Linked DNA regions of Arabidopsis thaliana. The protein of the gene in region 1 interacts with the protein of each later gene in a pairwise test. Each region holds a gene or a part of one and is shown on either strand. Other genes may lie near its edges.

Region 1 (16,403 bases):
TTTCACTAAACAAGTTAAAACATTTTTTTCCGTTAGGACTTGGGAGTATTTCATTCATACGTATAGGCAGAATGTTAGATCTACATACGCATAAATACATGTCTATCTGTTTATTAAGTTGATCATCAATAGGTCACAAAACTAGATAAGAACTCGATCTCTTCTAAATTATTTGTATAAATGATAGGTATTTGATGAGACTTACGATTAACGGATGTGCGTTTTTCATATTGAACAAATCTTTTAGTCCACTTCGAGATTCTCTTCTAGAGGTTTCCACTGTTTCCTGTTTCACATTTTAAACCGAATTAATAGTTAACCAAAATACGTATATGTTAGCCAAAGTAGTAGTAGTATTTTCGGAACAAACAATAATACTCTGATTTCAGCTGCTTCTTCGAGAATATCACCATTTTCTCCTCTTAGCCTCTTCAAAGTAACCTCAAGCTCTCGTTCTCTACCATACATAGCCTAAGATGAACATTAATATGTAGACTGTACCTTTTAAATATAATATTACCAATTAAACAAATAAAAAACAAACTTTAAGTGTGTGAATTACCAGCCATCTAGGTGATTCAGGAATAAAAAATAAACATATCATTTGGATACCACATGGGATTGCACCTAGTCATAGATTGAAAATCAAGAATAAGTTAAATAATGTGAATTAAGTACACACATTATAATTTTTTATGATTTGAGATATAGTTCATTTAGAGAAAAAATATAGTTACTTAAAAGAGCTAATGTTCTCCAATGAAAAAAGTTTCCGGTGAAGAACATGAGCGATATCCCAAAACTTTGTAGAAGCTGCAAGTTCAAACGCAAGATAACAATAATAAATTAAATATTCTGAAATTATAAGCTGTTTGATATAATTTGTTTCATTCTTACTTGATTGGAAAAAGAGAATCCTCCACGAAATGCTTTGGGCGTAATTTCTGCTATATATACAGGAACCTATTTGTTTTGATCAAATCAAATGGTGTAAAACGAAATTACTATATCAACACTTTATAAAAGTAACAAATAATTTGTTTTCAAAACAGATGATAAAGTTAATTACCACATAACTAATGAGACCAACCCCAAACCCCAAGAAGCCTCGACCAATATTTAACAGCATTTTATCCTTGAAAATAAACCACAGCAAATGAAATGTTAACTTTATTAAAAAATACTAAACTTGTGAAAAATAAATTTAAAAGATGGAGATTTGGAGAAACAAACATGTGCAAAGGCTACAGCGAGCCAACCAAAGATGCAGAAAACATCCGCGATCCACATTGTCTGCGATCAAAGAGATGAACAAATCATAACGTGTATATTACGTCATCTTAGAAGGTCCTACAATATCAAAAACAAAAAAAAAAAAACAGTGGCATAATAACATTTGAATACGAAACAAAATTTAATTACCTGTCGACGACCAATAACTGCAGCAATTTTTCCACTAAACGCGGCCGTAATCATTCCTCCCAATGTCATTACCGATGTGAAAAACGAATACTGGCCAAAATATAAATAGACCATTATTTTAGTAAATTAGGAGTAATAATTGATTATCGATGTAAAAAATAAAATTAGTTATTGATTTGGTCACACACATGGATGACTTACATCTGCAACGGAAAGTCCCAGTTCTTCCATGATTTTGGACTGAGCAGGCGATGAATATGACATCTTCAAATTATGATAGTGCACAAAATTAGGCCACAAGTTGACATCAACTCAAAATCACATAATATTCAAATAACAATTTTGAGACAAAACAGCTATTGAACAATTACCAAATTCAAAACAGATTTTGATTAAAAAAATAAAAATTCCAATCTGAGGCATGTTAGTTGAGATCCATGAGGAACACTAGAAAACCAAATGAAAGAAAAGGAAAGAGTGATGATGAAATCTCACAGCGCAGCCATAAACGAAAGAGCCAGTGACAGCGACGGAGGTACTAAGAAGAAGACCACAAGTGATGGAAGAAGAGCTTCTTGCTTCTTCTTGATTATTCACCAGAGGTGTTTTCATACTTCCAGATTCCATCTTCTTTTGTTCCTTCTCCTAATTGCTTTTCCCTGTATTTCTCTGTTCTTTAATAGTCTTCACTCTTGAAGCTTGTATTTGGCAGTGACTCATTGGTCGTGTCCCATGTGAACAACTGTTATAGATATTTGTTGACTATATATAGTAAGATAATAGAAATCTCTTTATGTCGGCTATCGTATAAATTATTGATTTATTCTTGTTGCTTGATCAATAAAGGTTACATCATAGAACTAAAATCATATGAAACCGAATCGATCAACCCTGGCCATCTTTTAAATAACCATCAATACATTGGGATGATCAATCCACAATAAATGTATTGATGTAAATTAAAAATATGAACTTGTAACAGATCAAGATTCAGGGTCTAAAATTATAGAAAGCTTAATAATGGAGGACTATTTCACTAAAATCACTTTTCGTTTGTACATTATTTTCAAAAAGTAAAAGGAGATGTACGAACCATAGATCACATAATAATTGAAAGGGTAGATGATCTGCCACGTTGGCAATCCGTGTGATCTAAAGTCTAACAAATCACAATCAATCTTAGTAGCCTATACATATAGAGAAGAGCAAAACCCTAAAGCCCACTCATCTTCTCAATTCCCAGATCATCTACAATAGTCATTTCTCTTCGATTTCTTCAAACTCTCATCAAATCGTTTATCTGTTCTAAATTTCGAAGAAGACGATGAGTACAGGCGCAGGAAGCGGAACAACCAAAGGTGGCAGAGGAAAGCCAAAGGCCACCAAATCCGTCTCTCGATCATCTAAAGCCGGTCTTCAATTCCCCGTCGGAAGAATCGCTAGATTCCTCAAATCCGGTAAATACGCCGAGCGTGTCGGTGCCGGAGCTCCGGTCTATCTCTCCGCTGTTCTCGAGTACCTCGCCGCCGAGGTAATTTATTTTTCTTGTCTTCCAATTTGGTTTTCAATTTCGATTTGGTCACATCTGAATTGGATCTTGTACTGATTTGATTTTGATTTGGTTTGGGTTGATAGGTGTTGGAGCTGGCGGGAAACGCAGCAAGGGATAACAAGAAGACACGTATAGTACCAAGACACATTCAGCTTGCAGTGAGGAACGATGAAGAGTTAAGCAAACTTCTGGGAAGTGTGACGATTGCGAATGGAGGAGTTTTGCCAAATATTCATCAGACTCTTTTGCCATCCAAGGTTGGCAAGAACAAAGGAGATATTGGATCTGCTTCTCAGGAGTTCTGAGGTTCTTAGACTTCTTAGTTCAGTTCTCTTGTTTGGATTCGGAACTTGTAAAATAGACCCTGATGGTGTTTTTTGGGGATCAAATTAGGTTTTAAAGCTAAGTATATTTGGCTTTTGCCTAAGTATGTTTAATTAGTGAATGATATGATATTTCGGAACGAATCATGTATCAATGGAACTGAATTAATCGATATATCAACCCAGAAACATTTTGAAACACAAACTATGCATACTTGATTCTTTATTGCAGATACATGCAACTCATGGAGCCTAATACTAAACATTGCTTTGATCATGTTTCAATTTAACCAGACTCATTTTTTAATTCACCCAGGGAGTAAAACTCATTAGGTTTTGGGCCTAACTGCCTCAGTCATGGTAATCCTGAATTAACTTCACTAAGTTACCCTCATCTGTTGGTTCGCACCTGAATTAGCTCGCTAAATTACCTTCATCTGCAGTTTTTTTTGCTTACCAAGAATCGAGTTCTTGAAAATTGTTATAATAAAGATAAGCGCAGAACACTTAACAAAATGGGGATGTAGCTCAAATGGTAGAGCGCTCGCTTTGCATGCGAGAGGCACGGGGTTCGATCCCCCGCATCTCCAATCTAATTTTTCCAAAAATATTAATTGCCTAATTTTGAAATCATGTGTCAATTGAGAATCCCATGTTTTTTTTTGTTTTCCTTCGTTAATAATGCAAAGCTCAACAGCGTCTATCTGAAAGACGGCAAATAATTTAACATTTTCATATATTACCAACGTATCTACTTTGATGCGTCAGACCGTCAGTGGTTTATATCATGTTATTGTGATGCAAACAAGCTAAAATATATATACATTTCGCAAATTCTGTTCTGTTTTTTGTTTCTTTCTTTCTAACAAACCTTACGGTTTAAATCCAACCTAAGTAAATTGAGAACATGATGATAACTATGGTAATAAGGTGACACCAAAATAATTCTATGCAAGAAAAAACAGAGACTAGACTATGCTGCTGAACTCAAATTGCTGGAGCTCCGATCGGATTAATCTTTCTCGAACGGACATAGGTCAGAAACTGGCCGGGAAGTTCTTCTAGAAGTGCCTGCACCACCGACACTAGTCCACCTGCAACCCCACCAAATTAAACATTTACTACCAATCCAAAACGCATCTAAACACTTTACACTATCCGTTGTACATAAGGAATTTAAAACTCACTATGGATGTCTTTCATAGGGACAAATTGAACGATGTCCCGTGTAGCTATTCGACCAGTAGAACTCTCTAACCGCCGACCATTATCAGCATCAAGCATCTGAAATATTTACAAGGTCAAGTCACTGCATGTTTACTATTTGCAAAGAGACAGATATAAAACCTAACTTGACAAAACAAAACTTGTACCTCCATTTGTTTGAAGTCTGTGTTTCCCACACCGACGATAAGAACTGACAACGGGAGATCAGAAGCTCTCACTAATGCATCTACTGTACCCGCCATGTCTGTAAGGACTCCATCCTGTTCACACATCCATTTTTTTTGTCATTGAAGCTATAGATTTACTAGTAACAGATGCACATTCGATCTGAACTGGGCCAAAGTCATTACGTATCTGAATGTTCAGTCTCTTACCGTAATGATGAGCAGAACAAAGTACTTGGGACTGTTTTGTGAGAGTGACTGTGAAGCAGTATGAGCAGCCTTGTCGACCACATTGCTAAATAGAGTTGGTCCTGCTAGAGAAACATTGCGAAGAGCACTCGCATAAGCTACCATGATTCCTTCAACTCCAACAACCTGAAAACGAAAAGAGAATATGAAGCAATGTGAAACTTAACATGCAGTTTTGAGAATGCAATGTTTCATGGTTTTCAAATAATGGACACCAGTATGCACACAATATCAGCTCCAATAATAAAGGGAGATAACAGTTTCTGTCTCGTAAGTTACCTCGTCGCCATATGATGCTCCATTCAAGTTAAAAGCATGGGACACAGAACCATCCGATGTTCTTCCTCCAAACCCCCAGGCAGGAAACCGCTTATCAGAATCATAAAACTGGATGACCTCTCCTACTTCCATAATAGCCTGGAAAAAAACAGAAGCCAAATTATGTTTATACATACAATAGATCAAGGGAATCACGACACTGAAAGAAAAATTAATGAGACGATGGTTTTATACTGAGAATAAGCATATAGTTAAATGGCCAAATCTATGCTATTTCATTAGCCGCTGTGAGAGAACTAACCATTCTAGTCCAAGCAATGTATTGGTATTGAGGATACAGATCACAAACAAAAGAAACGAAGGGGTAACAATAGTACCTGTTGATATGAGTTTAATCTGCCTGATGGATCAATGTAGTGCAAAGAACTTGGAGTTCGGGGATCGCCATTTGAAGCTGAAAGACAGACCATCAATCTTAATGATCAAGGTTTCTAAGTAAAGATAAGATATATATGAAGTAGAAGAAGGTGAATCACCAGTGAAGTCAACTGCAACCATGAAATTAAGTTCAAAGCCACTGGATATGTAATCAAGAAAACTGTACTGGACTTTCTCCACATAACGATCCACAATGAGCTGGCCTTTCAGAACCTACAGAAACCCAATAAAATCTTAACGAAAATAGATGAAAATAACTGTATTAAGATTTCAATCAAGTGGTACGACTAGGCACCTTGTTTCTACCGTGACTTAGAGATGGATAGACAAAGTTTGCAGCCTCTTTCTGGAGACAAAGTCTCTCCAATTCTGCTACAGATTTCTCTGTCTTTCTGCAAGGTTCAGTATAATTGTCAGTAACAAAAATCAAAAATGGTGAGACCCGGTAGAATGTTAAAGGTTAACATGTTACCCAATAAGTTCATGATTCCCACTGGTGTTAAAATCTAAGCACTCGATAACCAATGGGGTGTCCTGCATAAACAAAACAATCAATTTAACATAATGATTATTTCAAATGTATACATTGAATTACAGTGAAACAACTAGCTTACTTTGCTTCCAAATTGTTGCATAGTCAAGCACACAGGCCTCCACATGGGGTTGAGGTTGTTGTCCACGACCTCAGTCCGACAAATTGGGACTGCAGCACTTGTCTCAACAACTCTTGATATTCTTAAGAAAGGATCCTAGAAAGAGAAAATAAGATAACAAGTTAAAGCTTCTGCAAGAAATCATAATATTGTTACCTAGAAGGACAAGAATGCATAAGTTTGTACGTACACTCTTAGAGAACAAGTCCTTGTTATCCAAATTGACACAGCGAAAATTAATCTCAGCGACAGTTTTAGAAGCAACTGTTTCTTCAGCTTGGATAGAGAGTGTTCCCAAATTTCTATTCACACCAGCTCTAACGTTGCCAGTAAGAGTTAATGTCAGTGTCCGGTTTTGTCTTGTCATAATCTGGTGATTGAAAGAGGAATGTAAATTGTAAGTATTAGATATGTCGTACACAAAGAGCAGTAACACTGACTAATGGCCAAACAACAATGAAGCCATCACAAGTAGCAGTGTCTGATTACTGAATAAATTTACCTCGGACAGAACACATGTGCCTTCTCCCAAGAAATCCTGATCCTTTAGCTTTAATGTCTGCAAAGTTATACAGTATATTGAAACCACTTTTGATGTGTAGCATTTATTATCGATATGCAAACTTCTTGATGTTACTATCAATGAAAATATTACCTTCACTGGCACATTATGATATCTGGTATCAACATCATACACGTGAAAACTGAAAAGAAAAAGATTCATACAAGTTTAAACATGAGTTCAACATGTGCAATTTATCAGAAAAGAATAGTTAACAGTTGCATACACTAATGTCTGGACAGCTTCAAACTGAAAAGAGACTGTTATCTTCTCAATCCACTTAGGATTCAAGTTGTTAAGTATGACTTCAGTACGGCCAATTTCCTCAAGTCTCCCATCCTTTTTCCTCAAATACATGACAGCCATCGGATCACTCTACAATAAATCGAAAACTCATCAGCTTCACATGTAACTAAAGTAAATGGCTTTAAATCTCATACGACCATGTCCAAAAAGTTTAATCTAGTAGTAATATTAGAGATGATTCAATTCTAGGAATACCTTAGACGTTATGTCACAGTCCAACAAGTTTGAAGCCGACAAAGTTAACTGCAAAACACAATTGCACAATGTTAAACACAACTTAAAGGTAAACCTGTGAAAAAAGTTTATGATATTTCATGATAATGAAAATCCTAAAGAAAGAGTGTAAACTCAAAAGCAACAAGCAAAAGAAAGCGAAAACTTTAAGCCATCCTTAAGTCACAATAACAAATCTTAAGGAAAAGTTCCTTTTTCTTTTCGTATCAAATAGTGCAAATATTAAATGGTTGCACTGAGGGAGAAGTTGCAGAGTAGTAGTATAGTATTATAGGGTTATGTTTCATTGCAATTTACTTTAAGTTATAGTTTTCATTGCATAGCCTGGCCTACTTTCTCAGAAACCAAACAATAAGCTAAAGATATTAATTAAGAAAACACACTTTATACCCCACATAAGAAGATTCAATTCAATAAACTATAACCCCACGCACGCAAAAGAGAGAGAAAAAACATGGACAAAGACTGAACAGAGGGTCAATGGGCTAGCTCCATTAGAAAAGTACAAAACAAGAGGGAATATCTTATCCAGTATGGATAAAAAAAAGGAGAACAAGGATCCTTAAACAAAAGCAATAATCTAGTGTTTAAGCAATATTCAATTCACAAATTGTTAACTTGGTTGACTAATCCAAATGTGACCACATCATATACTAGAGGAGCTAAACAAACATAAAAAACACCTGACTTTAGTACCTCGATTTGAGAAAAGAGAGGATATTGACCACGAGATCTGAAGAAAAAATCGACGGCGTCGTTGTGAGCCGCATTGTTGGCGATGGTTGAGGAAGTGGGTCTCTGCTGGACCCCTCCAATGGCTTGTTTGCCTCCTTTCACATCTCCAGATAAACAACCTCCCATTCTCTCTCTCTCTCTATCTCTAGATTTAAACCCTAAAAATCCCAAATTTGGAGTCAGATCAAACCCTAGATGAATTCGCAAAATTTCACAATGCAGATTGTAATATGATTAACACAGGATTCTGCAACTTCTCTAGCTCTGTATATATATATGTATATTGAAAAGGGATACGCGTAAAAGAAAAATAGAACTGGAAAATCTGAAGTTTTTTGATTTAAAAAAGCAAAGAAGATTTTCTCAGGAAATTGGTTCGACCTTCCAAGAAATCGAAACGGTTGGTTGAATCCTTTGTTTGGATATCAAAACGCGTTTTGGTTTTCGAATTTAAAGGAAACGTCTTTCGATCATTTAACACTTTAACTAGAAAAAAAGGTTTCAACTTTCAATTCAACCTAAAAGTTTTCTCGTTTCTGCGAATTTTCCTTCTCCTATTCTCTCATAAATTTCCTTTTCGCGCGAGGTTGTTTGTGCTAGGAATATAATTAGAATAATTAAAAATGAAGCTAATAATTCCAAAATTTTAATTAGACTAGATATTGTTTGAATATTAACTTACGGTTAATAATTTAAGTATTAAGGATTAGGTAGTGTTTTACAATTTTGGGTTTAGAGTTTAGCTTTTCAACTCTATCTTTTTAGTTTTTTTTAGATATTTGATTTAGATTATTATGTTAATTATAGAAATTAAAATCTATTTTTCTTAATTTGATATGATTATCATACTTATGTTTTGTTTATGACATTGTGTATCTCGTGTTTTTTTTTTGTTTCTATTTATTTTGACTCGAGTCTTGTTTGTTGTTCTTCTACATTGGATGGTCGTTATACACGTGTGAAAATTCAAAAATGTTGTTCCTATCTTGCACTTTTCTGCCGCCAACATAAAAGTGTTATATAAGAGACTAATTCAACTAGAGGTGGCATTTTCTCTGAGTTATGCAGTGAGTTCCCAAAAAATTCCAAGGAAGTCTAAATAGCCTACAACAAATATTAAGCCTAAAAGAGATTTGAAAAGTAATTGAAAAGTAATGAGCAGTGACTTGCTTGGGATTTCAGTTTCAAAATAGTTTGTCATATGTTTTGTTTTTTCCCCATGAATTGTTGGATTTAGTTTGTCTCTCGCTGAATCAATAAGGTTTGCTAGGAAAATCGAAATCAAACACTAATTTCAGCACGGACACAACAAACATTTGTTTTCTAATCGAGATAAATTTTAACATCAATTCCGTTATCAATAAGGGACTGGACAACAGCTCTGATTTTCCCTTCAAACTTGTCTTGGTCCCTTGGCGTATAAGAAGCCGTGTACACATCAGCTTCTTTTGCACGCTCAGACAAGATCCTCCCTATGGACATACATGCCGGGATATCACATCTTGACCTCAGAACAGCTTTTACGTCTTTAGAGTTTGTTCCCGCAACAGCAACTTGCCTACATGTAACACGGTGCGTGAGAGATGCCGAAACAAAGCGCTTTGAGATGAAGACATCTAGAGTGAACGGCTCCATGTATGCAACTGTTCGTTGCTTGAACGACACATGCTTGTCTGGATTCTTCGACTTTTTCTCTTTTTGGTATGTGTATGGCCGGCTTGTGTCGTCATCCACGTAGTCTTCTACACCAAAGAAGCTTCTTGGTGCAAAAACAGTCTGTCAAGAATGGTAAAGCCAAGTCAAAATAGAAACAGATACAAAAAGACCAAGAAACGATAGCTGAAAAGACTCAATACTTAGAACAGAGCTGAACTTAATGATTGCAAAGTAGGCTCAGTAAATCTTATAAAATCCAGCTATTGCATACTGACTCATCTAAATGGCCAGACTAAAAGTATTGGCACTATCAAACACCAACAAACCATTGAGAGGTGGAACAATCCAGTCAATTACTTTAATGAGCTACAATTTATCTAACTCACCGTTTAACTAATTTGGGTTCTGCTCATACAATTCATCTAACCTCTTTCTAGCAAACAGCAACTAAAGCTAAAGGGAGTGGTCTAACGTCGGATAAATCACATTCAACATCGTTTCCAAGCAGATCTAGTTATGAGATTTCAATCAAACAGGAGTCACAAGGAACTGCACAAGACCTGATTCAAAAGAATACGCTTCCTCTACTAATTCTACTAAAAATCAAACTATTCAGTCAAGTAAACAAAGTGGAAGAACGGTGGAGTGTACCCGTCCATTGTGGAATCGACAACTGGTTTGGCACATGAAAGGTCTAAGCTTTTCTCTGTTACTTCCATAAATCGCCGCTTTACCTATAGAATACTTGGCAACCACTTGCTTCAACATTATATCTGCAACCACCTACAGAAAAATTCAGTCACTAGGAATAATAGTGCTCATAAAGACGTTCTATGTTCTATGATATAGCTAACTGCTAAAACTAAATTAAACCGGAGGTCACTAGTCAATAAGGATAGTAGCTTTGTCACAAAAGTATGCTTTCTTTTAGTGTCCATTCCATTACTGCATCCCAACATATTGAAGACTTCTTATTGCCCAGAAAACGAAACCATTTGTAATAAGCAATAGAGAGGCAAACAAGTTGACTTCTCTCAATAACAATCCAAAAGATAGAGAGCAGCTAAAAGCTTGTGCCAAGAATTTATAATTTCTAATTGCCAACATGATATCAAATTAGCAGCTCGTAAGCTATGGAAATGAAAAGTATTGAAAAGATTAACGAATATGATGACCTTAAATCATTTGAAGAACACACCCCACGATGTGATCATAACAAAATTCACTTCTTTTATAGAAAATTTGACTCGTCTTCAATTCAAATGCCATGGATTCTGTATCTGGAAGCTCAATTTGAAATAAAAATACACTAACGCACCTGGAAATCGATGGCTAGAGCACGACGGGTTGATATTGCAGAGGATACTACACTCAAAGAAAGCTGAAAACCCACCCACGGAGATAGAAGAAACTAAAATTAAGATTCAGTAAACGAAATAGGTTAGGTGCTTCGCAATGGCTGCCAAGGTTGAAACGGGCAATTGTTCTTCGGAGCTCCAAACATTGAAGATGAAGATTTTCTAAAACCCTACAAACGCAAAATTTGGTCTTCCGTCCTCGGAAAGTTACTCGTTTTTCATTTTCTCCCCATAAAAAGCTAATTCAACTATTAACACCCAAGGGTCACCGGTTTTATTATGGTTTTCACACCGGGTTAAGGACATTAATTTGGAATCTTGACCGACTTAGCTGGTTGAACCGGACCGTTTCCGGTTTAAGAAGAATAAAGACGCGGGCGGGGTTGAATTAAATTGATTTTCAGAGGAACCGAACCTTCACCTCACGACTCTCTCACTGCCTCACTCACCGTCACCGTCGCCGTCGCCGTCGCCATTGCTTTCTACTTCGCCGTGCCTGGTTAGTTTTCGGAATCTGATTTTCATTTCCATTTCGTTCCTTCTGAATTCTCAACTTTGTCTGCGATTTTCAGAGGTAGCGAAGTTCGTTTATGGAAGCTTCTGCTGAGTCTAGGTTTGTGGAAGCTCCATTAATTTTGGAATTTACTGGAATTTCCGGGGATTCTTCGTCAACTACTTTCAGGACTTGTTGTTGATTCTCACAGCGTGATCCTGAGAAAGGTATTTTACTTTTATGCTTTGTTCTTTTGAATTTCAGATTAAGATATATAAGAATCCGTTATACAAAATTACAATGAAGATTATATGAAGTTTCGAAGTTTCAAGGCAAAGTTAATATGCACGAAGTTTATCAGCTCCATCAAAATTTCAGGGTGCCAAGTATTAGCCATTGGAAATGCCACCAAGAAAGAAGCCCAAGTCTTCAGCTTTGAAATCAAACAAACAATCTTCAGCTAATCATTCGTCACAACCTTCCACCTTTGGCATCCAGCAGTTGTTCCTTCGACATATTCAGAACTCCCAATCAACTTCCAACTCTCATACCTCCACTGCTGACCCAGTTGATCAACAGAATGTGAATGGTCTTGCCTCTGACACTGCAGTTTTAACGCCTCAAAACCCTCTAGGCACATCGAATGAGAAACCTGATGAGTCCAAAGATATGGACCAGCAACTCACGGAGGCATCTCCTAAGATCTCCAAAAACCTGAAGCGCTTCTCTCCTGGAATGGTAGTTTCTTTTCTTATATTCCCTTATATTCTAATTTAATAGTTTGAATGGGTATGTTTTTCTCCTTAATTGCTGGTTGATGTAATTGCAATTACCCTATAATATCTGCTCACATGATTGAGTCCCTTGTGGTCGTATAATTCTTACATGCTTCTTTTATGTTCATAGCTGATAAAGCAAAGTCAAGATGACTGTGGTGGTGAGATAACTTGGAAAATCTCTCCAGTAAATGAAAGACTTCGGGCAGCTGCTAAGAACATTCCTAAGATGATGGACTTAACAGAAAATTCACTAGGGGTTAAATCTTCTACCATTCGCCCTTGCTCTCTGAATAAGGCATGTTTACGGCTTTAAATTTTCTTTTAAAACTAATTCTTGGTTCGGTAGCTGTTTCATTTCCCTTCTTCACATCGAAACTGACAGCAGCTAGTGCAGAAGCAATGTCCTACATCAGGTATAACTTCCAAGGTTGAGCAATGGTTATCTTCACCCTCAAAAAAAGCTTCCAAAAGACCAGCTTTTGCAACAAATAGGGTCATGGAAAGGGTAAATCCTTCCCCAGATGCAGAGTTTGAAATTGTTAACACTTCAAGTAGTGGAAACAGTCCTTTCCAGACCCCACCGTCTCTTTCATGCCCTCACAACAAGGTAAATTACTTTCCTGATAAACAGATTTATGAGCACATTTTATCTACTTCTTAACTTTGCTCTGTTTATGTTCAGCTTCCTTGTACTGTAACGTGCAGCGGAGCTTGTGGATCTATGGGGGCTGGACAACATAAAAAGGTATGATTTGAGACTTGATGCAGTCTTTTAGATGCTTATGAAAGGCGTATTTAGAGTATTATGTAAAATGTTTTGTCACTTCCACCTGTGGTTGATCAAGACTACATGCATTATTTCCTCTAGAACTTGTTTTCTACAGCGTTTCAAATTATTATTTCAGCATATTGCCTCTTTTTGTAGGCCTTGCTTGAACTATTAGATCAAGTGGAGGATGTCATCGCAGTTGATGACAAAACAACTGATGATGTGGGGATTGTGATGCCTCAAGCTCGAGTTAAAGATGATATCATCTCTTCTGTTGTTGATTGCGCTGTAGATGAAGGGCCAGTTTCTCTACCAAAAATGCAGAATTCCATAAATCCAGATAGCTATTTCCTTGTATTGGAGGTAAAGTTGGCCTTAATCGAACTTGGGGGGTAGCAATGTGGTTTTCATGTAAAAGTTACTCATTGTCCAGAGTTGTAACTACAGGTATCGGAGAAACGTGGCTCGGGTAGCTCATCTAAGGGTCAATGTCCTTATAAGGTTCGTCATTTACTCATAGATTTTCTCTTGTACATGCTCATATTTGCTGACTAAATTTCTCTCAGGTTCTTCGCTTGCTAGATGAGCACACAGGAGTGGAATGCGCTTTGTATCTCTGGGATGAATGGTACTTTATTTTGTATGAAATTTAGGGTGATCTCTGCTTTTCAGATCAAATTTTTTCAAAAATAGCAAGTGGTCGTTACTTTTCCATTCTATTTTTGATGAAGCTATTACACCTTGTTCTTTAATGTCTTGGTCTTGAATGTTTTTGCCATTATTAGTTTCCAAATGTCGGCTGATTGCATACTACACATTTTCTTGTTGTTTATCTTTCTATTCTCTTAGCATATGGGACATTTATATATCATCCATTCATTTCCCAGTTGGTTGAAACTTGATTTCGGAACACTGAAGGCTTATTGTTACCAGGTTTTACAGCACTGTATCACCAGGAGATTCAATCAATGTTATTGGAGAGTTTGATGGGGATGGCAAGTGTGACGTGGACCGTCAAAACAATTTCTTAATTGTTCATCCTGATACCCTTGTTGCCGGAACTAGGGTATTATTTTCGTCTTCCCTTTAAGGACTCTGTCTACAACTACCAATCTTCTTTGCACTTAATTTAGTTGTTGTTGTGAATAACTGTTCTACCTTTCAGGTTGCTGCAAGTTTTGGTTGCCCAAGGCGAACCGTGCTAGATGAGAGGCTCAGATCCAATGAACACGCTACAGTAGCCTTACTTGGAACCTTGCAACACCAAGTTTTTCAGGTTTACTACATTATGGAATCTTTTTGATGAGAATTCTATTGGAAAATGAGTGTTTTTGTTTGATTTTTTTGCAATGTACTGATCTGTGCTATCCATTTCCTTTGTTTTCCAGGCTGGTCTCTCGCAAGAATCTCCATCTGTAGATGGTTTGCAAGAATATGCAAGCACAGTGATTGAGAAAAGTATTGAGAGCTTATATGCATGCGGAGGTTGATTACTACATTATGTGTTCCTATTATTTGAAGGTTCATGCAGTTATCATATAGCTAGGATACCTCCTATTCATATCAGAATTTTGAGTTAATATAGCTAGGACACCTCTTATTAATATTAGAATTTTAAATTGAAATAGATATGATACCTGTTTGTTCTATGTGCTTTTAAGATTCACATTACTTCAGAATTTTGTTTTGCTTTTAATACCAAAATGCTACGAGTTGACCCAATGAAATACACTTAATCATTTTCTTATTTGATCATATGTTCTCTACAGTGCATGAAGGAGACGTGAGATCAACTTTATTTAAAGCTATCCCGAAAATGTTGAATTGGATTGAGCATTTCAGATATTCGAAGGTACACTTGTATTTTCCTATTTATGATTCTTTCTTTAGTTACTAATGGCTGTTATATCATTGTTTCCCTTGAACGTAATTGTTTTGGCTACTCTTCTGGTTGGAATCGTCAGATATTTTTGTAGTGTTGCACGTACATATTAGACTGCATTATGCTCTAATGTGTGTTGGACTTGTTTTCTCGTGAATGTGCTTGTTTGGTAATCACATACTTTCATATTATCTGTTATGCTGCCTTTCACCTACAGATATCCAATTACAAAGTACATTAAGATGCTTGTATTAGCAGTCACTTTATATTTATTTTACTGTGTCAGTCCCCTTTCTAGCAACTCTATGGGCAGAAACATCTTAATTCGTGGCATGTTGTTTATAAACAGGACTCAGAAGTATCAAAAGTTGATTTTGGTTCTACCATTGGGAAGAAAGCTGTTAAGGTATCAGAGGTTAGAGCTCTTCCTACTCTCTCCCTTCTTCTTGGGATTTCATTTGACATCATTGCAGAATAATCGTTGTTTATTAAGCAATCTCCTCCAATGAGACTTCTATTATGTATATAAACAAATTGCTTACCTCAGGTAATTGATATTGAGGAGATGTCATGGGCCCCTAAATATGGTCTCAAAGGGATGATCGATGCTTCGGTCAGAGTGATAGTTGAATCTGACATGAACACAGTGAATGAGAAGATAATGCCCCTTGAGTTTAAATCTGGAAAAGCTCCTAGTGGTCAGGTCTGTGTGGAGATCTATCTAGATATACAGTTGAAATTTGAAAGTTCCAAAAGCTTATAAAAACTACGCGCTTGGTCTTTATTGTGTTATGCAGTCATCAATAGAGCATTCTGCACAGGTGATCCTGTACACGCTCCTTATGTCTGAGAGGTGCTTATGTGCTGCCTTTCTTTTTTTCTTTTTGCTGGAAAACGGACAGCAGTTTACACTTTCATTCATATATCTCATTCTCCACTTTGCAGGTACCTGAAGCATATTGACAATGGCCTTCTGTACTATCTACAGTCAGATCAGACCCAGGTCAGTCAAGATTTGTGTTCCTTTCTTCGGTCTTGAGATTTGGGGAGTGACTAAGCTTTCTTTGTTCACTTGTAAAGGGAATTTCTGTTCAACGATCAGATTTGGTGGGTCTGATTATTCGTCGCAATGAACTTGCAAATGACATTCTTGTGGCGTCAACAACCCAGCAACTGCCGCCGATGTTACGGGTATGCTCTGATGTCCAGTGATGACAATTTCTCTAGGGAATATTAGATAATTAAATTATTTATTATTTTGATGCTAGAACCCAAACATATGCCGGAACTGTCGCCATCTGGATGTTTGCACAATTTATCAT
Region 2 (14,956 bases), on another chromosome or scaffold:
GTGTTCTTTGAGTTATTGATTTAGGTGACTGTGATGTACTTGGAGCTGAACTTCTTGAGTGTTTATCAAGATTAGCACCTAGTAAAGAAGAAGAGAGGAAGTTGAAGAGCTTTAGTGATGGTTCAGAGATTGGTCCAGCTGAGAGGTTTCTTAAGGAATTGCTTCATGTGCCTTTTGTGTTTAAACGTGTTGATGCATTGCTTTTTGTGGCTAATTTCCATTCGGAGATCAAACGTCTCAGAAAATCATTCAGTGTTGTTCAGGTAATGCTGATGATTGCGGATTTACATATTTGTGTCTAATGATGTAATCTTATGTTATGTCTCATTACTCATTAAACTTATCTGCTTTTGCAGGTTGCTTGTGAAGAACTAAGAAATAGTAGAATGTTTTCGATACTTCTTGAAGCTATACTGAAGACAGGAAACATGATGAGTGTTAGAACAAACCGCTGTGGGGATGCGGATGCCTTCAAACTCGACACGCTCCTCAAGCTCGTTGATGTCAAGGGATTAGATGGAAGAAGCAGTCTCTTGCATTTTGTTGTTCAGGAAATGATGAAATCAGAAGGCAGTGTGAGAGCTTTAGAAGGCATCAGAAACCTGAATACAGAACTGAGCAATGTCAAGAAATCGGCAGACATTGAGTATGGTGTACTAAGAAGCAATGTGTCAAGGATTTGCCAAGGACTCAAGAACATTGAAGCGCTTTTGCTACTTAGCGAGGAGAGTGGTTCATATGGAGATCAATGGCTGAAGTTCAAGGAGAGGATGACCCGGTTCTTGAAAACCGCTGCAGAGGAGATTGTGAAGATTAAAATACGAGAAAGTTCAACGCTCTCTGCATTGGAAGAGGTCACAGAGCAGTTCCATGGAGATGCTTCCAAGGAAGGTCACACAATGAGAATCTTCATGATTGTGAGAGACTTCCTGTCTGTTCTAGACCAAGTGTGTAAGGAAATGGGAGACTGATTCCCATTGTAAGATTTTTAATGTAATGATTAGGAACGCATCTCTAGTTTCATTGTATTGTAACCAGTATGACTAACGCCATTTCTGGATAATTCTGTATGAGTTTTTGGAAGACAATTCATTAGGTTTTGATGCTATGATTCTAATTTTGATGCTTTAACATGTTACCCTTACGACAAGCACAAATCAATGAGTTGCACAAGTAAGCCATATCTTTGGTCATATTAGCGAATCGTTTAGATACAGTAGAAATGCATCTACATTTCTAGTTAATTTGTGGTCAGAGGATAAACCTGATAAGCCAGGTCTTTTAAACATAGAAACACCATAACCATTACTGAAGAATTGTGCCTACACATTGTTGTTTGCTTGACTTCAAAGCTTCTGCATCCATGCGCTCGAGGATATGACGAGCTTCTTCCTCTGTGGCAGGAACTACATTTCGAAGTTTAAACCCATTGTTTCTGGCCTTTGCCTCTGGCCTTACAGTGAACTTGAAGTAGAATGTATTTGAAACCTACATCATATGTAACAGAAAAGAGACCTCAAAATTAACATAATGAGCTTCAAATCTGATAAGGTTCAAGAAATTTTGGCATGAAGATAGAATCAGTGAGCAAGTTCAATTTTAACAACCGTTTAAGAAAGCTCCATCATCAAGTTAGAATTTTACCTCACTGGAGCGAATCTCTGGACTTGTAACATGAGCAACAACTTCGATATTGATGAGCGGACAATCCTGTTTATCCAGTTGAGTGTAAAGAACACAGGATTTGAAACGTAAGAAATCCCCGACGTCCACCTGTCATTTAAGTCCATTAAGCGTAAGTTTACACAGAAGACGAACGTGAACAAGAAGATAATGGTAAGAAGTGATTTGGTTACAAACCGGTCTTAGGAAATCGACGTGATCAACTTCTAAGAAGTAAGGCACTAGACCCGCAAACGTATAAGCAGTAGAGAAAGCCAACTCAAATGCTCTATGCATTAAAAACCCTCCAAAGATCCTACCATGGATGTTCCTCTGCTGCGGTTGGCATATCAGCGAATTCTCAAGACGAGTGTCTTTAAGAAGAATGCTGTTTCTGTCAGCAAGAGCTGGCATGTCAGAGAAAATCCTTCCTTCAGCCAACCAAGCCTCAAGCTTCTTACACTCCCCGTGATCAAATTCCCTTCTGTCACCTCCTCTCTTCTTCTTCCTTAAGTTATTCCTAGCTTCAGCTTCCTCAAAGAGAAGTTTCTCAACCTCGGTTTCAGGAGAAAGACGGTTGATAGGAGCAGCTTTACCAGTCTTAGAATCACGCGCCACAAAAATGAAATTTGCAGTTAAAGCAACAGAATCTGAAGAAGCCTTGACATCTTCTGAAAACAACAACAACAACAAAACAGAAGTCTTTTAATTTCTAGTTTCAAGATACATGCTTGTAAGTTGAATTAGTAGACGACTATACACATACTCAATTCGGATTGCATAACTTCGAGTTGAATCTCGATAGATGAACGACCAACCCAAATGACAGAAGCAACAATCTTGAGATCAATGTCGACACAAATCGGCTTCTTTAAGACAATCTTATGAACAGAAGCTGTAACAAGCAAGAGTGGCCTCGTTGTACTATCATCATCAGAACAATGCTGTATCACAATGTACAGACACATTCAAATACACAATAAGATCACTAAAACCTATACTAGAAACATAGTCAGAAAATCAAATACACAATAAGATCACTAAAACCTATAATACAACCATAGTCAGAGGACAGAGATTCACAGTATCCTAAAAAAGGATCAAACTTTATCACTCAATTTGGCAAATGAAGATACCTTGACGGAGATAGTGCCGGCTAAAGCATCGAGATCTTCGAGCAAGATCCCGATACGGACCTCGTTCCAAGGATCTCTGTATTGCTCTCTGAGAATGAAATCAGTGGAGAAAGGGTAGAAAATGGTGGTACGGCTATGAGAAGGAGTTCTGGTGAGAAGCTGGCTCTGTGGTGGAGCGTCTTTAGGAGGATCGAGAAGAGATTCGAAGATTTTGGATCTGGCTTCCCAAAGAGCGGTGGTGACAGGTGAATGGTACATACCTGGCCATAAGCTTAAGGGTTTTCGGGTTGGGTCAGAGGTGGAGGATGGTGAAGCGAAGGTGGAGACGACGGAGATGGGTCTTGGGGAATTCATGGTTGGGTGAAGAAAGTGAGAAGCTTTGTTTCTGGGTTTTTGAAAATGGGGGAAGGTGAAAGAGAAGATGGTGAATCATTCAAAGGAAGGACATTGTTTGATTTTTAGTTCCTTTGACTTTGGAGTTTTTTTAGATTGTTTCTTTTTTTGACATTTGCTTTAGTGTTTTTTTTTTTACAAGGTTAGCTTAAAGAGCACTCTGTCTGATTCTCATCAAACATTCTTTATTTTCTTTGTCTTTTTTTCTAATTTTACAATCAACAATTTCAATAAAATTTGAGAACGTATGCATGTTGATTAAGCTTGTTAAAATTATGTTATTGTGTGTTTCTTCTACACTTACAAATGGTATTGGAGCCTTACCTAGCACAAGAAGATATTCAATCTTAGGGAAAGAGACTGTAAAGAACATGGAGATACGATGGTTCATAATTCATTGGTGTTGGTCGACCAACATTCTTGGATGCCCTAAGCTACGACATTGGATAATCAAGATATGATGCCTAAGATCATAGGGATTCATCAGAACGTTTAGACATCGGTTGTTTGAATCTGAATGTGAGTCTCCAAACTAATTTATTGGAGACGGCTATGTCGCAACAAAGTCTACAACAGAATGGTTAAAACTTAAAACATAAATTAAAAAGTGTCGAGATTCAGTGCTCTAGGCCTTAAGCATGGCAATAATTTCCTCCCTTTTCTTATATCATAACTCGTTAAACATCAACAAAGAGGTCCAAACGAACAATAAGGATGAATATATAACTCAAATCGTCAGTCACTAGATGAATTATGCTTCGAATGAAGGGAACGCTCCTTTGTCCTTTCTATGGAGCAAGTAGAAAGGGGAGACATGAAATGATCTTGATGGCCATAATTCATAATTATCCCCAAGACACCAAGCAAAGTATCCTTTCACATTGCAACCAGACTCCCTAAAAACAGGAACAATCATTAGAGACAATTTTCTTGTTGATCATACATCCATATACATATATATAAAAATTAAGTAGAAGAAGATAGGAAGACGAGTAGAATCCACTCACTTGATGGCCTAACGGAGAAAACAGAGATGACTGCATATATAATCAGTCCTGTTGGAATCAGCTATAACATCAAGGGCGGGTGTGTCACCACCGGGGCTACTATATCCTAGTTAGACCATCGTTACCAGTTACACAAATGAGTCGATTTCTTGGACCGATTTAGAAATAAATTAACTAAACATGCATAAAGAGAAAAAAAATATAATTACAAGGATAAGTAACTCACCGTTCTCAGTGATATAGACTAATGGGTTTCCGTATTTAGTTTTGAAGTGCTCCAACACGTTTAAAATTCCTCTTGGATGGTAATAACTATCTGCATTGAACTGAGAAAGGGAAACATAGATAAATCCCAAGTATATTTATGTATGTTATCTTTTTCTTAAAAATAATGAAATATAGGGATGGATCATGCATGCATACCCATGGACCTATGGGACCATCTTTATTTTCATCTGTAAACACAAAGATAAAGTAATGGGATGGTCACAAAATATTGTAAACAAATTAAGAAGATAGTATTTGTAAAGAAAAGTTGTAACTAAATAGCAATATAGATATAGATGTACATGAGAATGCTGAGAGCGAGTCATTCAGGACGGTGAGTCTATTCGGAGGATTTGCGGGAATGGCATAGACATACTGAGTTTGGTAGTAGTTGATACCAAGAAAATCATATGAACCCTTTACAAGTTTGGCTTCTTTCTTATTGAACTTTGGAAGGCGTCGACCCACAAGTTTTCTCATGATATCAGGGTATTTACCTTTTGTTAGTGGCTCCATGAACCTATTTTATACACATGCCTTAATAAGTTTCTATAAATGTACATCTATTATTTATTTTTGGATATATTGAGAGATATACCATCCCAAGAAGAATTCTTTGTTCCTCTCAGTCGCATCTATGTTGGCTTGAGTGCTATCATATGGAACAAACCATCTAGTAATCATCACAACTCCAATCTGTCCTCTTTGTTTTGGCTGTTGTGAGGAAGCATTGCATATATATATATAAAATTATCTAGAATCAGATGTCAGATTATATCTTTTTCAACCAGAGAACTCACCTTATATTTTTTCCGGTAAAGATGGACGACTTTGGCATGAGCAAGAAGCTGGTTATGTGCAACGATATAAGGTTCTTCCAGAATCTCCGGCGTAACAATCTTTATTAAGCCAATAAGAACATCGACCCGGTGCATCTGTTCCCATTGCATAACCTCTAGTAGGAACGGTATAGAGTTGGTTGATCGTGATCCACTTCTTAACCCTATCACCGAATATCTTGAAACATAGATTCGCGTAATCTTTGAAATCGTCTCTGCTCATATTATAGAATCATTTCGTTAATGCGAGATCAAATCTTTTATATGTTGTCATATTTATTAAGAAGTAGCATGGCATCGATAACATACATGATCTCATGGTTCAAGAAACCTTCATATTCATCTTGCAGAACTTGAGGAAGGTCCCAATGGAAGAGGGTAACAAAAGGAGTTATATTCTTTGCTAGGAGGCCATCTATGAGATCGTTATAGTACTTAACACCTGCTTGGTTTGATTCCCCTCTTCACCTTTCCTCCTGCTCATATAGATCGTAGATTTATTTTTACGACAAACAATATATATTCATATATACATGCATGGATTAATGTGTACATACTTGGAGCGATTCTTGACCAAGCAAGCGAGAATCTATAGCCGTCAACCCCGAGTTCGGTCATTACGTCTATATCTTTCTGTAGTAATACAAATAATCACATGTAAATTCCACACGTAGTTGATAAAAATTCAGTGACTAAATTCAGTAATTCCACACGTATTAACCTGCCAGTGCTCATATGATCCACAAGTGCTGTCTCCATTCCCTAAATCGGGTCCTCCTTTCTCTGGTAGCGTACAAAGACATTACTATGAATGTATAGAGAGATAACGTACCGACACTTCTCTCGTATAAATATGTAAGCCTTTATATATCAACCATGCAAACGACAAACCTGGATATCGGTGAGTGAAGCCATCCCAAACGTTAAGGCCACGGCCTTTTCCACCTTCTATCTGAAGTGAAACAAAACAACCATGCAACGTTGGAATTTAGTGTTAGTGAATTGTTTTTTACGTCAAAATTGGGAGAATATGTGATCTGTTGCATGCCTGGTAAGCAGAAGATGCAACACCGAAGATGAAGTCATCATCGAAATGTTTTCTGTTGAAACGATCAGTTTGGTTACATGTGAATGGCTTGGTCTCTTCGCACGTAATCTCTTCAGCTTTGCAAGTCTCCACTGCTAATAGAAGAACTAAGCCGAGTGCACGAAACTTCATGGTTAATCGGTACATGTATGTTTTCATTCAGCTGCATGGAAACCTAATGCGGTCTCAATTAAACTTTAAAAGAAGAAGTTTTTGTAGAAAATTTAATCTTTGCTTTGTATATTTGTTTTGGTGTCCTTAAATAGAAATTTTACATCAAGGAGCTAACGAAATGGAATCATGGATTCCTATAAAATTGGAAGTGAAAAGGTGATGTAAGAACACTTGTTAATTCTTCTATTATTGTCGACGAGAATTAAGCAAAAAAAAAAGAAAACCAAGAATTGACTAAGTCTAGTTATTTTGAATTTGGTATTCTTGACCCAATCATTCGTCATTGCAATATATTTGTGGTTTGTCCAATTTCGGACAGAGTTTCGTTGAAATCTCCATAGTCAGTGGGTCCAAATCGAGCACATAGTTAGTCTTCAAAGATATCCCACGTGATGACTGTATTCTCCTCAACCAAATTAGTGCTGCAAAATATAAGGCAGCAAAGACGTAGTGGCAAAACCAAAACAGTGACTGTACCACACACCCAAAGCTTAGTACATAGTAATAAGAGAGTGCATCTAACAATATATCATATTACAACACACCATCGACGACGAGAACCCAAAAATAAAATAAAAACAATACTTATACATTATATATATCTTTGGACTGCTACGACTAGAGATGTTTGTTTCACAATTCTTACCCTTCCTCTTGATCAACGAGCAACTATGAGCTCTTCAATGAAATCGCCTTCACCTGATTCAGATGGGATTAAGATATCATCATCGGCGGTGAAGTTGTAGCTCTCTCCAATGGCTCTTAGAAGCTGATAAACTTCAAACATGGTTGGCCTCTGCTTTGCTATTTCCGGTAGAACGCAGTTGCATGCTACTTTGAGTACTTTGAAGATTTCATCATCCACACCGTTCCCAAGTAAGGACCTGTCGATTGCTTCCTGCAGTTTTGATTCACTTGATAGCTTTGTAATCCATTCCACGAGGTTACCCTTGAAGTTTTCTTCCTCAGCTTTTTCTTCAGATACTTTTGTTACACTCGTTGCTTTTTGGCCCGTTACTAGCTCTAGAAGCACAACACCGAAGCTGTAGACATCTCCTTTTGGAGTTGCAACCATGGTTCTTGAATACTCGGGAGCAACATAACCGAAATCCCCAAATTCTCCATTGACGAATGTGCTTAAATGGGTATCAATTGGGTTCATCAGCCTAGCTAGACCGAAATCCGAGATCTTTGGCTCAAACTCTGCAGTCAACAATATGCATTTCGAGCTTATGTTGCGATGGATGATTCTCGGGTTGCAGCTATGATGAAGCCATGCCAATCCTTTTGCCGTCCCAATCGCGATTTTCAGCCTTGAAGGCCAATCCAAGGGCTTGAAGGATTCTTCATCTGCAGGATGTAACTGATCATAAAGGTAACCGTTTGCCATGTACTCATACATTAGAAGCCTCTCCTTATTGGCAACACAATAGCCCAAGAGAGGGACTAAGTTTCTGTTTTTAACAGAGCCCAAAGTCTTCATCTCTGCATCAAACTCTTTCTCAGAGCGTTGAGAATCCTGCAACCTCTTTATCATAAGTAGAGACCCGTCTTCAAGCCTACCTTTGTACATAGTTCCTGTTCTTCCTGTTGCAATGATATTATCTTTCTTGAATTCCTCTGTTGCCTTCATAAGATCGCTTAATTTCATCTTTGAAACCGATTTCTTAAACATGAAAACCTGAACATTCACAAAAGCACCAAACATATATCATAAATTTAGAACATAACCACATACAGCAAAATTCAAATCAATGATGTTTTTACCTTAACACCTTTCTGTCCTTTCAAGCTCTTTGCCCATCTGTTTCCTTCAGGATCATCCTGCTTCTTCCGAACAGCACCCAATTTACGGAAATAGAAGAACAAAACAACCCCAACGACTAATGCTGCTGCAGTCAGTCCACCAACTGCCGCTATAATAACAACTTTACCACGAGAGCTAGAAGCACTCTTACAGTCATCTAGAGGCTTACCACACAGATCCAGGTTATTAGCAAACAATTCCTGCTTAAACTGCAAGGTTTGGTTGAAATTTGGGATAGGACCAACGAGACGATTGTCAGACACAGAGAATGTTTTGAGCCGTCCAAGTTGCGCTAGCTGGGGAGGAAGAGTACCCGTGAACTGGTTATGCTGAAGCATAAGAGTGTTCAAAAAGGTAATGTTGGAGATCAACATAGGGATTTCACCAGAGAAGCTATTGTAGGAGAGGTCTAGAATCGTAACAAGTGGAATCAAGGTGCTAATGTTGGCTGGTAAAGGTCCAGAGAAGTTGTTTCTAGAAAGATCTAAACCAGTGAGATCAGCACATAGCTTAACCGCAGGAGGAAACACTCCTCTAAGACCATAACCAGATAGCTTAATACTCAAAACCCTATTCTCATCATCATGCCAACAAGTCACACCACTGAACTTGCAGATATAACCAGCAGTCTCGTTGCCAAAAACCCAAGTCGATAAATATCTATTTGGATCCTCTACTTGAGATTTAAAGGTCCTTAAGCAATCTATGTTGGCCTGATCCGCGTCAACCAAGCTCGAGAGTAGCAGCAAACAGAGACAATTATAGAGCCAGATTACAAAAACTAACCTACCCATCATCATAAATCCACTAAATTCCACAAAATGTGTAAAATCTCTATGAACTACAGCAACAAAATCAAGGGTTCTCTTCGATGAGCATCAAAATCCTGTAAGCAAATAAAAAAAAATCAAAACTTTATTAGCAACAACGAAAATTGGATTATCGCCAGCGAATCAAAAAGACTAAAGCGATCTTTAAAATTGAAGTTGACTTAGAAAAATTTACAACAACTTACGAATCAAAATCAGAAACACAAAACGAAAGCTTTGGTCTTTGTAGTCGTCGTTGTCGTGGTGGTGGTGCTCTTGTTCATAAGTGTTGAAGAGCACAATGAAGAAGGAGAAGAAAATCGCATCTGTGGCTAAGTGGTTATGAATGATGATGATGATGATGATGAAGAAAGGAGTTGGGAATAATTTAATAAAGGAGTCGTCTTTGTGAGTGAGTTGACTGGGACTTTGGATCGTCGTCGTCGTCTAGTGAAAGTTCGTGAAGAATGGGGCAAAGAAAAGAGAGACACTGATGATGAGAACGCAATGACTCCCAACAAAAACCAAATCGGTCTTTGCGCGTTAAATGTTTTTTTTTTCTTTCTTCTCTTTTTGACTTTTCAACATCATCATATATATTATCTTGTTTGTTAGGAGATGGACAAATTTTTCTTCCATTTGGTATTTTTCGCTTTTCATTCGTTTTTAGATAATTCTGGATATTTTGTAAATGGTTTTGGTGTTTTGACCAAATCAAAGAATGGAATATGACATTTACAAGAAATGTTTTCTTGGTATTAGTTTTTGACAAATACCAATGCATAATAATTTGTATCACAAAAATTGAATATCATGTCACATATTTAAATACTTATTAGGAGTAGTACTTATTTTGTTGTTGTTGGAATCTTTAAATTATGGGTTGACAGTTATATATATATATATATATATAAAAAGCTTGTTCATTTAGCAGATGTACCCGCCAACCACGGTTCAGCAAACACCCCAAAATGTTAATTCGTGTTGTTTATGTATTGTCAGTTTGTAACATAACGATTTTAGAAATTTTACAGAGTGTTTATATACAGAGACTCTAATACCATGTAGACTAAGAGTATATCGAATATATGAAACAAGATGATTACAGAGTGTTTATATACAAAGACTAGAAAGCTACTGAAGGAAACTTAATATTGTATACAATGATTATGAGCAATTAACGTGATTGACGATATTGATTCTCTTCATTATCTTGATTGATATGATTATCCTTGATAGTCAGTTTGTAACATAACGATTTTAGAGAGGAGATAAACCACGAATCACAACCTCTAGTCTCTCCCAAGCCAAATCCGCCATTCGTGACCTGAACCAACTTCGAAATTCATTTGATATTTGTAATGTTTTGTACCAAATCATTCACCATATATAATACAATTGTAGAATTCCAACAATTTGGGAAGTTGTAAGATTTATTTACTCTTGGTTTAGTCTTTCCTCTTTGACAAATACCAATGTATAACCAAACTATATTTTCATTGTTGCTCTTATTAAGAAAACAATCATATATAAATTTTGCATTCAAAAAAATTAGACACATAGTTTCATCCTTGGAGACAATTTATATGATCGAAACATCCGATGAAGAATATCAGTCTATGAAAGATTGTGCAATCTAGTTTTTTCCCCATTATAACATAGCCTTAAGCATGAAGCCAAAGCTTCGTCAACAGGTTAAAAAGATTGGGTGTTTGGTAAAAAAAGTTAAGGAATTTAAAGAGTGATTGATACACATAGATGGTGAATATACCAATTAATAGAAAAAAAGGAGGAAAGAGTAAATTACAAGTTCCCGGCAGTTTCAGACAAACTCACGTGACGCAAACTTTAAAGGGTTTGACTAGAGCCACATAAGCTGTCTGGTCCGAACCAGATATGATAGTGAAGAACGAGCCATTAAACCACACCAGTCTCTCTCACGTGCCAACTAAGTAAAATTGGGTGTGCTTAATAAAGTGTCTGTTATAAATCGCTTTGCTTCCTTTTATTTTGCCTCTCTTCTACTTTCCTCTTTCCTTTTTAGGGATTTCACTTTCCTCTTCTCTCTCTCTCTCTCTCTGCCTAACCTCGATTTCTCTCGATCGCTCTTCACCATGGATCTACGATCATGTGGTCCTTCTTGAAGTTTTTTGATCTCTTCTTCTTACGGGTTTTTACTTCGTTTGATTTTCCTGGTAAAGTTGCTTTTTTTTTATCTTCTCTTGAGGTATATACTTTTTTTTTGTTTTGAGTTCATGTTCGTGTTCTCTTCACTGTAGCTAGGGTTTGTTGATTTCTCCACAATATAGCTCAAAATTTCTGCTATGACCTTGAATTTTGGTCGTGAAGTTTGTTTATGTGATGGATTAAGCTGGGATTTCATAGAATCACTGAATCAGCTTGCTTGTTTCTACTCTCATTTCGTCATCTACTCTTCTCTTAATCTGTATTTGTATTATTTCAGCTAATTTTTTTATAAGTACGTCTGATTAGTTCTTGAGGTTGAATTATCTTTGTGACTAAAAAATAGTGTGAATTTTTCTTGAATGGATTCATTTTTTTGGGGGTTTCTTGTTCATTTGTCTTTACTTGCCTTGTAGGCCATTTTCTTACATAGTTGTCCACTATGACTTGTACGGTCTTGTTACAGAGCTAATTTGTTTTTATCTTTAACGAGTGATATTGTCATTGGATAGTTTTGACTGATCTTTGTTTATCTGTTCTTGATGATTTTTTTTTTTGTAGTTGTTTGTTGTTCAAGGATCGAGATTTCGTGGAGCTCTCTATTCGCAGCTTGGAGATTGGACTTGTTTGAATTGGTAACAATATTGTGTCTGGCCTCTAATGTCGTTGTACTCATGTTTGTTTTTATTTGTTCGGGACTTTTTAATCATTACTTAAATTTCCGTTTTATTTAGGCTCTTTTGTGATGGAGGATACTCGGTCAGTTGCTTCACTCATGGACTCTACATCATCCAAGATTCAGCAGCTTCAGAAGGCGTTTGCTGAACTTGAAAGTCAGCGTGCTGTAACACTTAATCTGAAGTGGAAGGAACTTGAGGAGCATTTTCATGGGCTTGAGAGGTCTTTGAAGAGAAGGTTTCATGAGCTTGAAGATCAAGAAAAAGAGTATGAAACCAAAACAAGGAAAGCTCAAGAACTGTTGGAGAAAAAGAAGGCAGCTGTTGAGGCTAAGGAGAAGGCGGCGCTTGAAAGGCTTCAGAAGAAGAGAGACGCAGCTATGTTTACTATAAACAGTGCTTTGGATAAGTATAACAACGCTCCTGTCAGTAAACCTTCTGTTGGTGAACGTTGGCCACAAAATGCTGTAGAGGATTCATCCAATGTCTTTGCTGCTGATAGTATTACCGATGATAATCCGGATGGTATTGTGCAAGATGTTCAGATCTCACCTGTGATGGGAAATTATGAGGTGAAGGCTTATCCACAGTTACTGAAACTGTGCGGGGATATGGACTCAACGGGTCTCCATAAGTTTGTATCAGATAACCGCAAGAACCTTGCATCACTAAAGGAGGAGATTCCTATGGCGTTCAGGGCTGCAGCAAACCCAGCCAGCTTAGTGTTGGACTCTTTGGAAGGGTTTTACCCTATGGAGGCACCAACTGCTGATGGAAAAAAAGACGCTAACCTCTTGGGCATGCGCAGAACCTGTATCATGTTGATGGAGTGCCTTAGCATACTGTTATCTGGTCTGGACCGCAACTGCCTTGCTGTTGTTCTCTCACAAAATGTTAAGCATAGAGCCAAAACTATTGCAGAAGGATGGAATCCACTGCTGGAATCTCTTGACATGGATGCTTGCAATGGTAATTCTTTGGAGGCTCATGCATTCCTGCAACTGCTGGCCACTTTTGCTATTGTTGCTGATTTTAAAGAAGATGAACTCTTAAAGCTGATCCCCATGGTTTCACGTCGCCGTCAGGCAGCTGAGCTCTGCCGTTCACTTGGATTAGCTGAAAAAATGCCTGGTTTGTTCTCTTAACTTTTAGTATATGGCTGATTATCTTACAGGTTATGACATTTCGATAGGAAAGTTGATGTTTGATAGTAACTATTTAGTGAGTGATAGGGTCTCTGGTCAAGGGCCTAAACATGGTGGATATCTGTGTTTTTCCTTGTTTAGTTTACACCCAGATTCTCTACCTTATCCCTTGATCTTATCTTTAATGTGCACTGCTCCTTTTATTCCAGGTGTGATTGAAGTTCTCGTGAACAGTGGAAAACAGATTGATGCGGTTAACTTGGCATTTGCGTTTGAACTCACAGAACAGTTCTCACCTGTCTCATTACTGAAATCTTACTTGATAGAGGCAAGGCGATCTTCCCCCCAAGGCAGACCTGGCAATGCATCTCCTGCTGTTCAGGCAAGTGTTCCCTGACTTGATAACTTGCAGTTATAGATTACCTTGTTGGTGAAAATGAAGGGCTATATTAATGCATTTTGCCTAGAACGAGTGATCTTATCTTTTATTGAACTCGTTACCTTTTCTCGAGCATCTGGCTATTTGAAAAAGTAAATCTTACCTCGCTGGAACATTCCTGAGCTCTGTTCAGTTAGCTGTCATATTTTACTCCAGACTTCTAACACCATTTGAAACTGAAAACCGATGCTTTCATTATCAATTACTTTAGGCGTATATCATAGTACTTGCTGATGCAGGATCAGTCTCATATTGTTGTACATTATTATGTGTGTACCAATGCAGGATGAGTTCAATGAGCGGGAGCTTATAGGCCTCAAAACCGTTATAAAGTGTATCGAAGAGCATAGCCTGGAAGAGCAGTACCCAGTTGAGCCACTTCACAAACGGATTCTCCAGCTCGAGAAAGCCAAAGCGGACAAAAAGAGAGCAACAGAACCCATGAAACCTCAGCCAAAACGACCACGTGGTGCTCAACCCCGAGTCACTGACAACAACAACAACATCAACAACAACAAGACAGGATACGGTAGAGTCATCCCTGAAAGGTATCCGCAGTATGTCTATGACAACAGACCGTTCCTTAGCGGTCCAATCATGGCAGCACAACCTCCACCACCTCCTCCTCCTCAGACTTACACGTTCAATCCTGCTCCTGCACATGGGAACTTCTACGCGAACTGCTATCAGTACCAGGCTCCTCCTCCTCCTCCTTACTTTCACTAGTGATAAAAAAAGGTGAATGGTAAAATGTGACTGTGACTGTGACTCCCCTTTGGTGTTAACTTGTGGCAGCTCTTTTTTAACTCCTCTCCTTAGTTCTCTTTCCCTTTGATGTTGTTGTTGTGTACGGATGGTTTTAGTATTTTTAAGGATCAACCCTACTCAAAACAAAAAACAAAAAAATACTCAGATTTTCTTATTAATTATTATATCTTTAATGTTGTATTTTATTATTTTTCCTTAACCTACACAGGAGGTGTAAATTACAATACTAACCCTAATTTGAATTTCGAAAATATCTTATTCTCTCAGACTCGGTCCTTCGAAATTCCCAATTCTCTCTCTGAAATCTCCCGCCAACAATCGAAATGAGAATCGCCGAGATCACCACGCCGGACCTCCGGTTACATCACCGGGAAACCGATTCACACACTCACCATCCTCTTCTCTCCGAGATCGAGCTCTTAATCCAACAATCTGAAGCCATTTCCAAAGATCAGCCGCTACCTCAATCTCTCCCTATTTCTCTTAGACAATTCCTAACTCGGCTGAGTCAACTTGCTCCTTTTCCCGATAACTCCTTCAAGCTTACCATATGGAAACTCAG

What was found.
Region 2: the proteins of BON3 (region 1) and BIR1 interact in a two-hybrid assay, tested with the Arabidopsis thaliana proteins (one study listed by BioGRID).

The regions. Positions count from the first base shown.
Region 1 is NC_003070.9:2,834,020-2,850,422, reverse strand, and holds BON3 (Calcium-dependent phospholipid-binding Copine family protein), read right to left. Parts: upstream 8,455-16,403; 5' UTR 8,271-8,454; coding exon 8,106-8,270; intron 7,419-8,105; coding exon 7,371-7,418; intron 7,245-7,370; coding exon 7,096-7,244; intron 7,012-7,095; coding exon 6,963-7,011; intron 6,867-6,962; coding exon 6,810-6,866; intron 6,678-6,809; coding exon 6,498-6,677; intron 6,404-6,497; coding exon 6,269-6,403; intron 6,189-6,268; coding exon 6,127-6,188; intron 6,047-6,126; coding exon 5,950-6,046; intron 5,868-5,949; coding exon 5,753-5,867; intron 5,671-5,752; coding exon 5,594-5,670; intron 5,355-5,593; coding exon 5,217-5,354; intron 5,064-5,216; coding exon 4,899-5,063; intron 4,785-4,898; coding exon 4,671-4,784; intron 4,582-4,670; coding exon 4,485-4,581; intron 4,392-4,484; coding exon 4,285-4,391; 3' UTR 4,073-4,284; downstream 1-4,072. Other genes in the region: AT1G08890 (Major facilitator superfamily protein), read right to left, coding at 206-286, 379-471, 563-627, 738-813, 898-963, 1,070-1,135, 1,234-1,293, 1,423-1,512 and 2 more; H2AXA (Histone superfamily protein), read left to right, coding at 2,747-2,953, 3,058-3,279; AT1G08845 (Ribosomal L18p/L5e family protein), read right to left, coding at 9,468-9,920, 10,452-10,583, 11,119-11,211, 11,608-11,634; emb2411 (DNA replication helicase), read left to right, coding at 12,054-12,389, 12,558-12,725, 12,816-13,037, 13,113-13,175, 13,356-13,562, 13,647-13,700, 13,766-13,827, 14,133-14,265 and 9 more. UniProt on the Arabidopsis thaliana protein: Negative regulator of cell death and defense responses. Repress a number of R genes and may have effects in promoting growth and development. May function in membrane trafficking and in fusion of vesicles with plasma membrane.
Region 2 is NC_003076.8:19,597,361-19,612,316, forward strand, and holds BIR1 (BAK1-interacting receptor-like kinase 1), read right to left. Parts: upstream 9,788-14,956; 5' UTR 9,388-9,787; intron 9,259-9,387; 5' UTR 9,173-9,258; coding exon 8,333-9,172; intron 8,247-8,332; coding exon 7,224-8,246; 3' UTR 6,729-7,223; downstream 1-6,728. Other genes in the region: AT5G48360 (Actin-binding FH2 (formin homology 2) family protein), read left to right, coding at 25-263, 357-971; AT5G48370 (Thioesterase/thiol ester dehydrase-isomerase superfamily protein), read right to left, coding at 1,306-1,488, 1,645-1,773, 1,861-2,333, 2,429-2,606, 2,799-3,152; TGG3 (thioglucoside glucosidase 3), read right to left, coding at 3,943-4,083, 4,408-4,524, 4,622-4,653, 4,768-4,985, 5,064-5,179, 5,266-5,339, 5,392-5,519, 5,614-5,764 and 4 more; AT5G48385 (FRIGIDA-like protein), read left to right, coding at 12,111-13,173, 13,397-13,569, 13,912-14,352; AtSPO22 (Tetratricopeptide repeat (TPR)-like superfamily protein), read left to right, coding at 14,718-14,956.